3 linked regions of the Oryzias latipes genome follow. The protein of the gene in region 2 interacts with the protein of the main gene of each other region in a pairwise test. Links are inferred from orthologs where the notes say so. Each region holds a gene or a part of one and is shown on either strand. Other genes may lie near its edges. The genes, in order: traf3ip1, wac and DPY30 domain-containing protein 1.

Region 1 (5,543 bases), on a different chromosome or scaffold from region 2:
CCAAACTGTGAGCCTTGAACATTTTCTTACCCCAGACACAAATGAAACAGGACCGTCTGTGTGGCTGATAACCAAGTCGACAGAAGACAAACTGTTAGAACTTTTGGGCGCTTTTTTGGGAATAACATCAAACTAAGATAAAAGAGCAGAAGAAACTCTCCTGAAAGACCTACTGCTAGTTGGATCCAAGTTGGGAACGATTTCCCCCAACAGGGTTGATGGGTAAATGAACATTACAGCCCCCAAACACCCCATGATACACTTGATACAAGACAAAACCATTGACCGTACAGAAGAACTGGTCTGAGTGACCCACCCCCCACCCCTCGCATTCCTAACAGGAAGTACCTGCTGGCTCCAAGAAGCAAAATTCCCATTAAATTCTATAGAGAAATAATCAGCTGTTCCTCAGTAATTCATTGGTCAGAATAACCATTCTTGCTCTCCTTCCTTTTTTAAACTGTTCCTTGAAATTTCTACTTTTCCCCTTGTTAGGATTAATAAAGTTCGATTGATTTTTCTCGTGATATTCTTTTTCTGTAGTGCAAGTTATTCAAGTTATAAACTGACGGAGGTCTCAATAAAAGTATGTGGTGCCTGCTGGTCAAACGACAGATTTCATGTAGCCCCCTTTCAAGTGGCAGGTGTGGACTTTCAACAAGCTCACTTCTAATTGGAGAGAGTGGTTGCCAAAGAAGTGTTGACTCGAACCAACTCAAGCCAATCACTGCTGGCTCATGTCTGCCTCCAAAAGGGTGACTGAATTGGCTTCATTTCATTGTAAGTCATTCACTCCATCCAGTTCTTAAATACAATCAATGGAAAAAACTAACTTAATAGTAACTTTTCACAAAGAAGTAACTTGTTTAAGGATAATAAATCTTGATTATCTTAAGATATTTGATCTTGAAAACATCGCATTTCAAGCAAAAGGTCCAATTAAACAAGATTTGTTTTTCCTTTACATTTTTACGCTTCGTTTGTGGATGGTGAGTTTGTTTCAAAAAACAGTCCTGCTTCATTTAAGAAAACTGGAAAGTTTCATTTGACTAATAACCCTAGTATGTAATGTTTGAGCCAAAATGATCCTTACATGTGCAATTTCACTATCACTATGAGATGATTGGCATTTTTTTCATGATGGAGAACATATATAAACAAAATTAGGTTTGAATATACATTTCTATATACATTTCTATATGTTCTATTCTATATTTTTATTTTAAAAACTCTAACCAAGACAAATTCTACTAGTTCCATTGGCAGATTCTTTCACCAAAACCAAGGGAAAAACATATTACGTTCCATATTTCCTAACTTGTGAATGATTTCCTGTGTGGTTCTTCTCTTATAATGGGTCCAAGTTACAATTCTATATATTTCCTCCTGGAAATTTTCGCGAAACCAGCAGGAACTGTAGTCCTGAAAAAATATTTGTAACAGAGGGGAAAAAATGTCCTTTCCTGTATAGTCCTCACAGAGAAAAAAGGATGAATACAAAGAAACTTTGTTCCCAAGATGTCAAATACTTTTTCACAAAACAGGAAAGTCTCTAACGAGAATATAAATGAAGAAAATAAATAGGCATACCTCAAAGTTGAGCAACCCAAGGAAACAAGCTCCTTTTGCTCCAGACATCTAGATGTGTGTATCAATTGTGTGTGGTTTGTTAGGGGCCATGCTAACCTGTCTGGTTATAAGCAATTCAGCTTCACTGGAGGAGAACATTTCTGAGGTTTCAGGGAACTGCAATTACACCTCTTTACTCTGTTTGTTTACCTTTTTTTTCATTTTTTTTTTAAGTAAATGCCAATGTTGCACTTGGTTGGAAAGGGTTCATTGCAGTGGCGGTTCTACCCTGAATTACTCCCCGGGCGAGGCCCTCCTCTAGCGCCCCCCCCCCATAGAGTCACTTTGTCCATTTATTGTAACTGAAAATACAGTTAGGAAATATTTAATAAACACAAACAATCTGAAATAAATATTATAAACTACAAATCACACTAATAATACACTAGAATAAATGTAACTGCAGCACTAAGAACAGAAAACACTAACTAAAACCTAACCTTTGTGGCCTTCCTGATGCAAGCTTGTCAATAACGTCATCAAATGAAATCTGCTCCCCCCCCTGAATGATTGATACTAACAACAGCAGGTTAGTGAGTTGCTCCTGAGACATTGGTGATCTCAGGTATGACTTGATCAACTGGAGTTTTGAAAAGCTAACAGCAGCAGCAGCAGCAGCAGCAGCAGCAGCATGCTACCATCACAGCTTATTTAACATTATGAACTAATATACAACAATAAAACACAACAAAAACTTTGTGTTACAGCAGAGCAGACAGACACACGAATCATAACTAATGTTACAAGTTAAGGCAGAGCAAACATTTAAGAATAAATATCTTAAAAATGACGTTATTTGCAATATTTGGGCCTACTTCAGTTTTGGTCATGATAGACCAAACAAGAGATTTTTCCTCTGCAACGTTGTTGTTGTTGTAGGGCAGGTAGCATTCGAATTTAGAAAACGTGCATCTAGCTATGCGATAATACCCTTTTCTTTGTCTCTTTTCTCCTCTTCTTCTCTTTTCTTTCTAAATTGGGCACCAGCTTTGACCTTTTTTCTCCATATTTCAGATGTTTTTGCATTTAGCCTAAATGTCCTGACATAGGTATCAAGTCTGTCGACTAAACCAACTGTCATCTAAGTGAAGAATTTTTTTTTTGTTTCCCCATTTTTTATTTGAAATAACCAAAAAAGCATGATTTTTTTATACTTTTTTTATACCCGCAGCCCCCCCCCCTCCCGTTCGTCAAACATTTCCAGCAGGAGCGCGTGCAGCTGCACCCAGGGGCGCCAATTCGCTACATGGCGGCGCAATTTTTATTTTTATTTTTTCATGAAGCACTGAGCCGCGGCCCGCGACCGTTGCCCCCCTGGAAGAAGATCCAGCCAGGTTTGCGCATGCGTTTTGTGCTCCGTGCTCACCTCAGCCTGCACCCTTCACCCCGCGCCCCCTCCCTTCTCCTTCTTCACCCCGCGCCCCCTCCCTTCTCCTTCTCACACACATTTGCGTCTACTTCTCAAAGACAGCAGGGAGCGCAGCTGCGGGGCGGGGGCGCCGCCAGGTTTCAGGCTGTTACAAACTCTGTGATATAAGTAAACCAATAGTGATGCATAAAGTATTTTACAAGAGCTGAGCCGCTGGCGCCGCCCCTCCGTCATTTTTCCGCCCCGGGCGATCGCCCGTATGGCCCGTGCCTAAAACCGCTACTGGTTCATTGGAAGCAAAGTTCACAGAGAGAAAAGCTCAAACAAATGACAAAACTTAAAGAACTAGAACCCGTACTGCCCTCTAGTGGAGACAGAAAGACTACACCGTCCACAAACCTGTTCTTTAGATCTGAGGGAGGAATGGGGCAGTTCGTGGTTCTTCTTGACCTCAAGGATTTTTTTCACCAGGCCCCCTGGGGAGACAGAAACAGAAACATTCAATTTCTGAGGTAAACGTGGCACGCTGTGCTTTGAAAGGAGAAGCAGAAACGTCTGACGGTGTACCGTGCTCCTCCTCACTGTCCAGTTCTCGAGCGGGTTCCTGTGAACGGGAAATAAAAAATAAAGAAATAAGAATCCAAACAGTCTCCCTATGTTCAAACTGACATGTGAGGCACCTACTCGATCGCTCTCAGGAACGCTGAGGGGTGGAGGGGGTGCCTCCTCCACGAGGAATTGCTCGTCATCCTCCTCCTCATCGTCTGACATCTTCTTCCCGTCCATGATGACAGGTGCTCTGGGCTTGGCACTTGACAGCCTTCAAAACAGGAGCTTCGCTTATTTACAAGCGCATTTTAGACAGTGTTTTCTGAACCTGCTTCTAATTTATTTGGTTGATTACTTTTCAGTAGGACAAACACTAAGAATCGGGCGGCCGTGGTGCAGCGGTGGGGCGGTCGACCCATAATGAAATTGCAGGTTCGATTCCCGCCTTGCACGCCCATGAGAGACACTGAACCCCACCTTGACTCTGGTGGGAGGTTGGCGCCAGTGTTCGGCAGCAGAGCCGCCACCAGTGTGTGAATGTGTGTGTGTGAATGTGTGTGTCTGAGTGAATGTGACTGTAAAGCGCTTTGGGCCTTGAAATGCGCTATATAAGTATACGCCATTTAAGAATAAACGTGAAAACCGTGAGTACTGGATGCCACGAGTGACGTCAGGTTTACCTCTCTGATGGGGGGGCGTCAGCATGACTCTCTTGTCTCCTGACACGAAACCGTGCACTGCCCGGTCGGGCCATCAGCCTACTGATTTACCATAAAAATACATAATTACAAAGGGAAAAATAAAACAGAAAATAAGCAAATATGTACTCTGGGAGTTTCTTTCAAACAAATCAAAGTTTGGGTTGTGAGATGTTTACATGTGTCCCTTGAGTGATGGCAGGTCAAAGTGTAATGTATGAAGTGAACAGACCTGTTGTTGATGTCAGATGACATGGAGGATCCCACAGTGTTCCCATTTTCCTGAGGATGTGAACTTTGGGCAAAACGTGGATCTTCATCTGTCAGTAGAACATGTGGAGCGTTAGTCAGATTATAATGCTAGATCTCCACAGATCCTGTGTTAGCAAAAGGGACTTTAGGATCACTTAATGTACTGCAAAGTCCTAGACTCTCTATAAATGATAGAAACTTCAGATATACCCAAATCTCTTCTTTGTAAACCTGCAGAGATTGAACTTACATTAAAGGAGTAAAATCTAGATACAGCTTTTCAACAAAGGAGTGGATACGTAAAGCGCATTCCAAGGTTCTGCAGTGGTTTAGTCGGTCTCTGGACCTCAGCAAGGAGTTGAAAGTCTGTGTTGCTGTGGCAACAGCCCCAAAACATCACAGCTCTTGAGAAGAATGGACCAAAATCTAGAGTGCATGCAAACCTGGTAGAGACCCATCTACGTTTGACCTCTTCCCAACCATTATTACCACTTACTGTCTGCACTTTCTACATATATTTAAAAATCTTCCACTGTGAATTGTTTTTTTTTTTATCCCGTCTCTGGAATAACTTAAAAAGTCAGAGACTAAACAAATAATTTTGGTCCCACGGTTGTTGCTAATCCTGTGGCTGCATAATTTATATCTACATTTAAAAACTAATGACCTTCAAAATTTTAATATTAGCATATTATTGAGGAACATTTTTTATTCTGTCTTGTGATTACTTAAAAAAAAAAAAAAAACTTTGAAAGTTCAAGATGCCTATGCTAAATTCTGATTGTCCCTCCTGTTTGACACATCCAAACAACCAGACTAATCCAACCAGGAAGTGTTGTCTTCTGGATATATTTCATGTCCACCTATGGCACACATATTCAGTTATGCCAGACTTACTATATTCTGCATCTGGAGCAGTTTTCTTCTGCTGCTAGTTCACATGTGATATGTTCACAGATCTAACGTAAATATATCGGTTGGGAGAACGACATCAGTTACATTTTCCCTTCTATTATCTTTAAACACGCTGCTCTTGAAATATTTGA
Region 2 (4,595 bases):
ACAATGGAGGGTTACAGTAGTTTCATTGAAAGGAAGGATAAATATCTTTTTAATCCAGTTTTATTAGATGACACTTCAACTGAAATGGTTTGTTCAGACCTTTTTTTCCTTATTTTTGAAGATATTGCTGGTTTGAAGCAGTTGAAGAATTGATAAATAAATCTCTTCCAGTTTAAATTGTAACCAGTGATTGTAAATTTAATAATGCTGCACAACTTGCAGTGCATGTTACTCTGCTTATGTACGGATTTTAAATACCGGTAACTGTAATACCTCCACACACTGGGGCAAAATGTAATTTTTATGTAACCGACCAAGTTGACTGTATTATAAAAAAAACGTATATTTTTAACAAATTGTAACACTATTTTACACAGACTATTCGGAATATTTTTAAGGAAATGAAAATGCATAAAAGTAATTTATTAATGCTGTAAACACGTCTTTTTCATCTAACTGTAAACTTTAATTCAAACATGCTGAGAAAACAAAAAACAGATTTACTAGAGATTTCCCTGTTCTGCTTCCAGGTGATCAGGTTTCATATTAAATCAGAACAAAAACAGCATAATGTTGATCTTGTCATTATATATCATTTACATTAAATCTGAAGGAGGAAGGTGGTAGTGAGATTCAGCAAAAACATCTGACAGCTCACAGTTTTTGGTGTAACACCAGCTCAACGCTACAAGGACGCTGCTAAAACAGAGCGGATTCACTTCAATTATATTTAGAGAATATCCGTTCTGGAGACTTTTTTTCTATTTAGCTTCTACTTTGACAGCAGTTATGGGTTAGGGAAGCTCCATGTCTCATTTTAGTGGAACCCACATAAAATCCAGTGTACTAATAAAGTTTAAAGCAGCTGCAGATATTGGACTTGCATCAAGAATAAGTTGGATGTAGTGGAGAGAATCCAGTAGTTTTCCAAAGTAAAACTTCCTTCAGAATCAGAATATAAATAAAACGGCAGAACTGTGGGTTGTGGGTTTTTTCCTCCGTTTCAAAGCTTCTGCAGAAACATCTTGTATGACTGCATGTTTTTTTCCCCTCCATGTAGCAGTCAGAGGAGTCCGTCTCCAGGTTCCAACCACGTCGCCTCCAGCAGCAACGCCCCCAACTCCGCCTCCGCTCCCCCGGCCTCTTCTACATCCCGGCCCTCCTGTTCCTTCACCCCCTCCCTTGCGGCCCATTTCAATGAGAGCCTCATCAAGCATGTGCAGGGCTGGCCCGCAGAACACGTGGAGAAGCAGGTCAGTGTCCACCGCACACCTCCCCTCCCTCCTTCTTGGCTCCGCCCCATTTAAGTTTGCCTCCGTCTCCCCAAAGGCGTCCAGACTCCGCGAGGAGGCTCACACCATGGGCAGCATATGCATGTCGGAGAACTGCACTGAGCTCAAAAACCTGCGCTCCCTCGTCCGGGTCTGTGAAATTCAGGCGACGTTGCGCGAGCAGAGGTGAGTCGTCCGCACGCTTTCTGTTGCTGCGTCCAAACCCCCCCATCTCACTCCTGCTCTCTGTTCTTCTGCCCCCTCCCTTACAGGATATTGTTTTTGAGACAGCAAATCAAAGAACTTGAAAAGTTGAAGAACCAGAATTCCTTCATGGTGTGAGAACTTTTGGTGGGGGGTTTGGGGGGGTGTCCGGAGGTTGTGGGGAGCGGGGTTGTCATTGCACATACTAGGAAGCCGGCAAGAAAAACGGTTCCTCCCGAACCCAGTCTTAACACACGGGAGCTGCAGTCCTGCTGGCAGACCACAGGGGGGCGACAAGGAGCTGCTGGTGTGGTGGGTGGGGTCAGGGAGGGGCTGATTTACAAGACTGTGTTTTTGTAAAAAAAAAAAAAAAAAAACCACGGTGGATTAACATGTAGATTTCTTGTAGATGTTATCTATGTTGTAAATATGTTTTGTAGATTGAATCCATGGAAAGCCATGCCTATCAAAGCTTTTGACATCCAGACTAATCAGCCGAGGCGCCAGCCTCTCCGTCACTCATCTGCAGACTTCCGTTGTCACGTCACGGATCATTGAAGCGCCGTGCCCAACGTGAACGGAGGAGCTGGCCTCACCGGGGTCATCGGTTTGACCTTTTTAGATCCTCTCCCACCTGTGGGTGTGGGCGGAGGCCTCCTCCGTGCAGGTGTTCTGTAAACGCTCACAGCGCTTCAGTGATCCGTCAGCAGTTTCTGGCGCCCCACTTTGAGGAGGACGGGTGACGAAAAGACAGTTCCTGGTGGTGCAATGGATTCCAAACGAGGAGCGTGCTGCTTTGGACCATTCCTTCACCCTCAGCAGACCTCTTTGGAGTTGAACTCCTTTCTTTCCGTTTTGTTCCCTTTTGTTCGTCAGCTCTGCACGCTGACTGTCTTCATTCCTTTGTACCGTCGCTAACAGCAGCGGGGTTTTAGAGAAGGCCAGCTTTCACGTGTGGGTTGCAGTAATAAGCCATGCATCACCCGTCAGGAGCTCAAAAGCGGGTGGAGGTGGGGCGCCTCTCCGGTCGAACGCAGGGCAACCAGGGGTCAAAGCTCAAATGTGAAATGTATGTAATGTAATAAACATGTTAAACTAAAGTGAGCGCTGAGTGTTTTGTTGGAGTGTCTGCTTTGGTTTATATGCTAGTGCCTTGTTGAAAGTCTTAAGCCTCATCACCCGCAGGTCCATGTTTGCTGTCATCCCGCCGGATCAAAAGGCCCAGATTTAGTCAATATCCTTTAGCTCCTCCCCCATATTCATCACTGTCAGCTGCTGCTTTATGCCCACCAACACAACATTTAGTTGAGCTGACCATGTCATTGCTTTGTATAATGTTTCCTGAAATATATTGACAAAAAATAAAGGATGCCTCTCCAAGGCAGTGTTGTGTTCAATGCTCCTTTGAGCTTCAGCTCATTTTGTTTTTTTCTTGTTTGTGAGAAAATGACTAAAGCCTGAAGCTACGTTCACAGCGTCCTCGGCAACGCACTTTCAATGAAAAGTCTGTGTAAGCGTGCATTTTGAGCTTCCGCGTTCAAAACTATCATGTTCGTGAATAGCTACATACGTTTCTACTGCCGTTTTTGGGTTCTTTGTTTAAAACATGGCCATGGAATGTGCGCTTTAACCCTTGTGCTATCTTAGATGACCCCACCCTTACATTGACGTGTTCTCCCTACCATGTCAAAGGTGTATAAAGGTGGAAAGATTTCATGTAATCCATGGACACCATTGAAGTTCACAAATCATTGAAGAAAAAAGGTTTGGCGCACTGTCTTGTGGGTCTAGATGACCCAACTCCCAACGTTAAAGTGCCTAGGATAGCACAAGGGTTACAGTGAAACCACAATGACCAATTTGGTGGTGACGAATGGAGGGCGTCCCCTTTAAGTCATGGAAGTCCTAACCGTTTGAAAATTGATCATGGAGGAGAAATTCATAATTGCGATTTGTGTCCGGCTGGAGTTATGACAAATCTTTCATACATAAGAATAGAGCTGTGAAAGAATAAACCTGGAGTAAGATTCACGAAATGTGCACCACTTCAACATTTCGTATCAAGCCTCTTCCAACTGTAGGTGGCGGACATGAGCTATTGAGTGCTAGGAAAAGAATAGGTCCCTCCTTGATCGTCCAATGTGAACACCATATGCTGACAGTGCGTTCAAGAACACGTGGCATTCCTGGTGTGTGAACATAGGTCACACGGTGTTTTGGTTGTTCGAGCCTGTGGGGGATCTTAAGAGAGGCACAGGTGTGTCTTGCGTTTCCCTTGAGGCTCGTACAACCAACTTGAGGGACGTCATGAAAAATGGAATGTATGATAGTCGTGTGTATTGTGAAGTATTTGGAAGGATAATGTAAGTTGCACGCGTTTATGATGTATGAGTGAAACTGTACTGGCTCCTTACTGACCTTGCGTGTGCAGTTGATGGGTAAGTGTAGGACGTCCACACAAACTAAAATGTGTAATTTCCTTAATTCTACCAGTCAGGCTACGTGCAAGCACCTATCGTGTACAGCTCAAACGGGCTCCTTGCGCATTTCGCCTGCGTGTCACTTGTTTTGCCCTTACATGTTGTTTACGTGTTCGCTAAGACAGCACACAGCATGCCCCTAGAGAAATGTGCATAAACATAATTAAGCTTACTGTACCATGCAGGCTGCCCCCCATGCCCCTACCAGGTTTGCCCCCCTTTTTTGCCTGCAGACAGCCCTATCCACCCTAAAGGGCAGTTGTGAGTAAAGCTTTAATTCACCTGAAGGTCAGGAGGTATCATAGATCACAGACATGCTGACCTGTACTTTGGTGACATCTACTGGCAGTTTGTGCTAATCACAGCTTTCAGTGGCCCTAATAATGAATTAAAATCTTTTAACAAATCAATCCAAAAGATACTATGTAGATTCTGGGATTGTTTTGTCATTTGGGCATTAATTATTATATATTTATAGGTTAACCTTTGAATGGCAGGAACATATAGGAACTAGGCTTGGGTCATAATGCAGCAGAGCTGTATGCTAAGGTTATCGTGTGCAAACGTTTAGGAGGATCATTCCTGACTCTTGAGTTGTTGCAGCTTATTACACTTACACGAGGAGCATGGGTGGATTTTG
Region 3 (6,174 bases), on a different chromosome or scaffold from region 2:
AAAGAGAAGGTTAAAATAAAGACAGTTGGACCACACTCCAGCACCGCATGAGGGAGGCTGCCTCCAGGATCGCCTCGGCCCCACTGCACCGGTGGGTAGCCACGACGACCACCACCAAGGGAGATCTCTAATCCAAACCCTCACCAGGAGTACCTGCTCAGGGCCCAAATTCACACAAACACACCACAACCCAAACAGTGATTAAAAGAAAATACAAAACAGAAGAGGTGCAACTGAGCAGGACACCACTAATTTGTAGGCCGGAAATGGGGGGGGGGGGGAAATCCCCCTTACACAATACTACACATGGCACCCACCAGCTACCGTAAGGATAAAGGGAGGAGGCAGCCACCTCCAGCCAGGTCCAACCACCAAGAGACTAAAATGAGCAAACAGTTTAAAAAAATGGATAAGAGCAAGGGTGTCAAGCTTGATTTAAACATTAAAAACACTAAGCAAAACAGCAGTGGCAACTCTGCTGGAAAAAGAAAAATAAGTTAGTTCTCCCTGGGACAAATACATGTTTACAAACCCTTATGTTACCGCTCATGCCCCAGGGTCAGAACTCATGCCACCACCTGTTAATATAAATAGAATTTAAAATGTTGCAAACTCAAATGCTTAAAAAACTTTTGTAAAAGGACTCAAATGATTAAGCTTTAGCTTAAAAAAAAAAAAAAAAAAAAAAAAAAAAAAAAAAAAGCCCACATGTCAAGCTCACCCACCAAGGCCAAACCAGCATCTAGGTGGAACTCACAGCTGCTATTTATCAGCCTCATGAGCCAATCACAGCTCAACAGACAGGTGCTGGCCATGAATATTAACCTATGGAACACCACGAGGGACAAACTACCACCCACAGCCCTGTCTGTCATATAACGATAAAACAGGGATAAAGAGGGAGTTTCCAACTGAGGTCTGTTTCTAACAGTTTGTTTAAAACAAGGTTTTTTTTTATAATGAGACTGCCACTCTGTAAATAACAGAACCAAAAAAAAATCCAAACAATTGCAAAAATCCCAGTGCAAGAAATTGTAATGTAATATGGAGGGGAAAAAGATGAAAAATATATATAAGACATTCTAGACATGTATCTTTCTCAGTTATTATAAGTGGCAATTTCTCCCATTTTTCTACTTAAACATATTACCAAATGGCCCACTTTTTAAGGACAGAACAGTTTATCATAACAGTAGATAAAGCCATTGACTGTACAATAGGACATTATGTTTTAATATATCTATTATGCAGTCAGTAAGACTAACAGGGTCTGCGCCACCTAGTGGTAAAAATTTCGTAAAAATGCACAAATCACATTTTTCTTTGAGTGTGAATATAGAATCTTCCAACAATTTTATTTCTGCTTTTATTAAATAACTATGTAGTAGCATCTGCACCATTTAGATTAAGATAACTATTAGTTTTATGAATTCCTTTTTTAACATAGTCTTTTGAATTATTCCTCCCCCAATTTCTGACATTCTGTGACTGATGTCTCTTTCTGCTTCATAACACATTGAAGCAAAACTTGTAAAGATGCAAAAGAATTTTAATATTGTTTTATTGAGTTTAACTACTGGAAAGCAATTTAAAACACATCTCAAAATGATCACTTTCTCGTCAAAATATTTAATCTGTTTCACAAATACTATTTTGTGCGTCTGTGTATGGGTGTGTGTATGAATGACAATGAGGTTTTTTCACAAATATTTCTTTTTGTCTGTAGTTTTTTTTGGGGGTGTTATTAATATAATTGAGGATTATTATTATTATTATTATTATTATTATTATTATTATTATTATTATTATTATAAAAATCATCATCACCATCATCATATTTATAGTAGTAATAACAATGCCTGAAACAACCAATGGTTGCATTATAGAAATGACATCGAATACAAAGCGGAACTAAAAAACGGTTGGGAGACTTTAAACTGTGTGGGACCGTTACCACGGAGATGCAACCGTCCGCATAAAACAGTAAAATACGGTAATTTCCGTGTTAATTTTGGCTAATTTGTGCAGGTTTTATCCATAAAATCGCTTTCAGGTCATTTTTGTTCGTCATTATTGCCTTAATAGCTCCGAGCCTCCATATTTGCTCTGTAGATAAACAATCAGAAAACGTGTAGCATGATGGATTCGGAGTATCTTAATAAACATCTGGGGAAATGTTTGGCTGAAGGACTTGCTGAAGTGGTTGAACGGAAACCCGTGGACCCTATCCTTTATTTGGCCCACTGGCTGTACAAGTATAACTCAAATACGCTGTACGAGAAGAAGGTGAGTCGTTTTGTTGTTTTCACCAGCAGGGGGCACTAAAGGATGCAAACACAAAAGTTGTTGATTTACAGTGTTTTTAAGCATTACGTGGTTTACTTTTCCGTGTTTTCCATTTACAAAACGCTATAAAAACATAAAGTGATTGCATATATCATAATTTTTTTGAAACGTTGTCTTGCAAATGCAGTGCTGAATTAGAAACTATTAGAAAAGTGTGTAAACACACCAACCATAGTGTCATTTTTTTTTTAAAATGATGGATCTAGATTTTGCACTCCAGCTGCTTCTGATTATACCCATGTTGTTGCATGCCGTCAAACAGGTTTTAAGAGGATAACAGTGTTAGAGCACGTAAACTCATTATGCTGCAGGATGTAAAATAAGTAGGGCCTCAACAACAAAGACTCACCTTTTACCTTTAACACAGAAACTGTCTGTACCTCTACTGACACACAGCTGAGCCCTACTTAAAACAAAATGAAAGTTTAAACATTTTATGGTTTATATAAGATGTATACTTGTAAACTTTAGACTTGTAAGCTTAGATTTGTTCCTGTATCACCTTTGTATTTGCAGAAGAAGGCAAGTCTGGCTCTGCTGGATCAAGATCAGGAAAAAAGCAGCCAAGAAGCATCACATCAGGAAAATCTCACAGAAGAGGAGCAGATCAGTAATGCATCAAAAGGCACAGAGAAAGTACTTTCTCACTTTCTATTGCTAACTTAAAAGTATTTGATTTTAAACATCCTGAATGCATAGCTGACATTTTTAAAGACCTACTCTAACCATCTTTTGATCTATTTTCACAGAATTCCCAGTGGTCTTGTAATTCAAATTCAACTTTACTTGTGCACCACTTTTTCGACTACAAAGCCTCTCAAAGTGCTTTCCATAATAAAATAGATAATTGTAAGATAAAAAACAGTAGTTAAAATAGCAAACATAGTAAAAATAATAATGATAAAATAAAATTAACAACATTAAAACACATACAGACCCAAAACATACACATCCCACAGGTACAATCAAAATGAAGCGCATCAATTGCTGATAAAATTTATAAAATCTAATGAAAACATGTTGACAAGTAAAAACTACATAAAGGCTTTACTAAAAAAATGAGTTTTAATTTTTTTCTTAAAAACCTCCACAGTGGATGAAGCCCTCACCTGCCTGAGGAGACGTTCCACATGGAAGGCCCACAGTACTGAAATCAGGCCTCGTCGTGGGTTTTTGTTCTGACTTTTGGGACCACCAGCACACCTCCACCTGTGGATCTAGGAGGGTCATAAACTAAAAGTAAATCTAATAAAAAAATGAGGGGCCAACTCCATTTAAACTTTTAAAAACAAATGAAAAGAACTTTAGAATCAATCCTAAAGCTGACTGGGACCCAGTGGAAAGATTTCAAAATATTTCTTTATTTTTTTTCTTTAGCACTGCAATAGCCTGGTTTGTTTAGTCACAGGAACAATTCAAGCTGGCCATCTCACCATTTGCAGGAAACGTTCCCAGCTAGGTTAATTCACAGCTTTGCTGGGCTCAGGTGAACGTCGCGTCTGCGACTATGATTGTGCCGTATCAATCAATTATGAAGATTTTAGTCAAAAATCTAAAATCTGTGGTTTTCCGGGACATAGTTTCTACAGAGCAGTAGTAGTTCATCAGAAATATGCCTCTGATTCGTGGGTGGTTTGACCCCTTCCCCCCTTACCGGTACCAGTATTTTGAAACCCTCTCCCGTTAGCTTACAGCCCCTCACACCCACCTAACATGACTGGTGCAACAGAAATGGTGAGCAATACCGGAGCTGTTCAGATGTACAGTTTTGAACCACATGCCAGCTTGGACGAAGAAAACGCCGACGTACCTGGATACATAACAAATATGATCTTTTTCAAACTGCATTTTTTTGTTTGCTCCCAATTAACAACAATTTGAAAAAAGAGGTACTTAAAAATACAATTTAGAGCTTAACTTTCTTTTCATATTATGTCCGCCATCATGACATCTTTTGAATATCAGGCCATTGTTTTTAACAACATGTTAAAAACACAGTTTTCATCAGAGTGGGTCTTTAAAGGCCTAAAACTTTAACCCCCCTCTGAGGAGCCACAGATTAGCTCAGACACTAGAGACAGACGCTGAGACAGACAGCACTATTCAATAGTTAAGCATCAGGAGGCAAATGGGCAGCGCATGAGGGAGGCTGCTGATAAAATCGACTCCAGATGAGTCACGCACACTGCAGAGACAGAATTAAGGAATCTACTCCAGCGTTACAGGCAGGATCTGCACATTGATTCTTAAAAAATGCTGTATAATACAAGTTTGAAATACATTGCAGTCTGCTTTAATAAAACAAATGCTTTTAATAGTTCTTATGTTGAGCTAAAAGTCCTAAAACTCTTCAAAAAATGTGTTTTTTAAATGTAATTTCTTTACTTTTTCTTAGACTGATGATGTGGAAACTGAGAAACTTGAAGATGTCATCCGGTCCTCGTCAGTGCTCCAGAGTGAAGATGCTCAACCCGATGAGACAATTCACCATGAAAAAAAAGAGGAAGACATAACTGACCGCAACCATGAAGAAAAGGAGGAAGAGATGAGAGAAATCAAAGCAAGTCCATCTCCTATCGGTCTAGAAAAGGTAAGTATTTGTTGTTTTTCTCAAATATTTGGTACATCAAAATGTGTGTTCAAAAAGTACAGAAAGGAGCAAACGTTTGCTGGTATTTACTGGACACTTTATTGCAGGAGGCTGCATGATGGAAATTTTGGACCAGTAAGTCATTGGAAGGAACCAGAAAGTCATCAGAAGACTGCCGGAATATGACAGCAATGACGGATCACAAGATAAATAAATAAAAAGTGCTATTTTTTTCCTGATATCTTTGTTTAACATTTTGATATTTTATTTTATTGGAGTAAATTAAAAATGAGTTAATATTGTTTTTGTTATTTAGATCGTATAAAAAATTGCCACCTCACTGTTTCACAATAAGCATGAAAGGACAAATATTGATTTTTGTAATTTTATTGTCTTTTATGGCTTGTTCAAGAAGTGTTCAAAACTTTTAATAAAGTCATTTTAAATTGAAAAAAAAGCTGTAGCTATTATTAGACTGCATATTTCAAAACTGCCCATCGCTCTGCCTTGTTTCCACATTTTACTTGTGTGTCACAATGAGACTGCTCTGTTACTGAGCTCAAAGTTCAGAAGCTACATCTATACTAAATCTGAGTTTAAAAATGAGTATGAAGGGAAGGCTTGTAGAGGAAAACAAATATTTATTTATTATTTCTCCATAAATATTTGTTTCCATGTATTTTATTCTGGCAAAGTTCCTGAATCTTCATCAACCTTTGACCATGAAAGTTAACCCTCCTAGATTTCCTGGCTTTGTTGTTGCCCTGCAGTTCAAAGGTCAGATGTCTGCGCAGATCAGGCGCAGCTGCATGTAATCTGGGTGTCTAATCAGCATTTCAGGCTGAAAGAGGGCTGGGCTTTGGGAAGGGAAAAGCAAACTGGTGACTAAAACCCTGCTGGAATTTAAATGCGTCTCCACTCCTGAGTTTGTGTGAGTGTGGAGTTGGGATGCAGTGAAGGAGCGCGTGCAGAGATCCAGAATGGCTTTGGGGATTGTTGGTGACGCTGTGGCCGCTGTCGGTGGCCTCATTGCTGGGGTTCTGAACTACATGACTGACATGTTTCTGTCAGCTCCCTTGAAAGCCACGCTCAACCATCTGGAGGACACGGAGCTCAAAACCTTGACGGGCGGTAAGAAGTTTCTTCCCAGTGTGTAACTTTCAAACAATTCAAGCGCTTTAAGTTAAGTACCCCCCCCCCCCCATTATTTGTAGTAAAAAAAAGGGGAATTTTGTGGA

The links.
Region 1: the proteins of wac (region 2) and traf3ip1 interact in a two-hybrid assay, tested with the Homo sapiens proteins (2 studies listed by BioGRID and IntAct). The link is inferred for Oryzias latipes from reciprocal best matches to the Homo sapiens genes WAC and TRAF3IP1.
Region 3: the proteins of wac (region 2) and DPY30 domain-containing protein 1 interact in binary tests that used the Homo sapiens proteins (3 or more experiments, as listed by UniProt). The two-hybrid records come from large-scale screens. The link is inferred for Oryzias latipes from reciprocal best matches to the Homo sapiens genes WAC and DYDC1.

What each region holds. Positions count from the first base shown.
Region 1 is NC_019879.2:26,413,705-26,419,247, forward strand, and holds part of traf3ip1 (TRAF3-interacting protein 1), read right to left. Parts: intron 4,566-5,543; coding exon 4,478-4,565; intron 4,309-4,477; coding exon 4,228-4,308; intron 3,819-4,227; coding exon 3,683-3,818; intron 3,603-3,682; coding exon 3,566-3,602; intron 3,475-3,565; coding exon 3,398-3,474; intron 1-3,397.
Region 2 is NC_019878.2:7,914,768-7,919,362, reverse strand, and holds the end of wac (WW domain-containing adapter protein with coiled-coil), read left to right. Parts: intron 1-1,060; coding exon 1,061-1,253; intron 1,254-1,329; coding exon 1,330-1,457; intron 1,458-1,543; coding exon 1,544-1,613; 3' UTR 1,614-2,855; downstream 2,856-4,595.
Region 3 is NC_019877.2:16,024,949-16,031,122, reverse strand, and holds DPY30 domain-containing protein 1, read left to right. Parts: upstream 1-1,925; 5' UTR 1,926-1,993; exon of another isoform or gene 1,994-2,053; intron 2,054-2,112; 5' UTR 2,113-2,136; coding exon 2,137-2,286; intron 2,287-2,862; coding exon 2,863-2,982; intron 2,983-4,741; coding exon 4,742-4,936; intron 4,937-5,043; coding exon 5,044-5,055; 3' UTR 5,056-5,175; downstream 5,176-6,174. UniProt on the Homo sapiens protein: Functions as part of axonemal radial spoke complexes that play an important part in the motility of sperm and cilia. Plays a crucial role during acrosome biogenesis.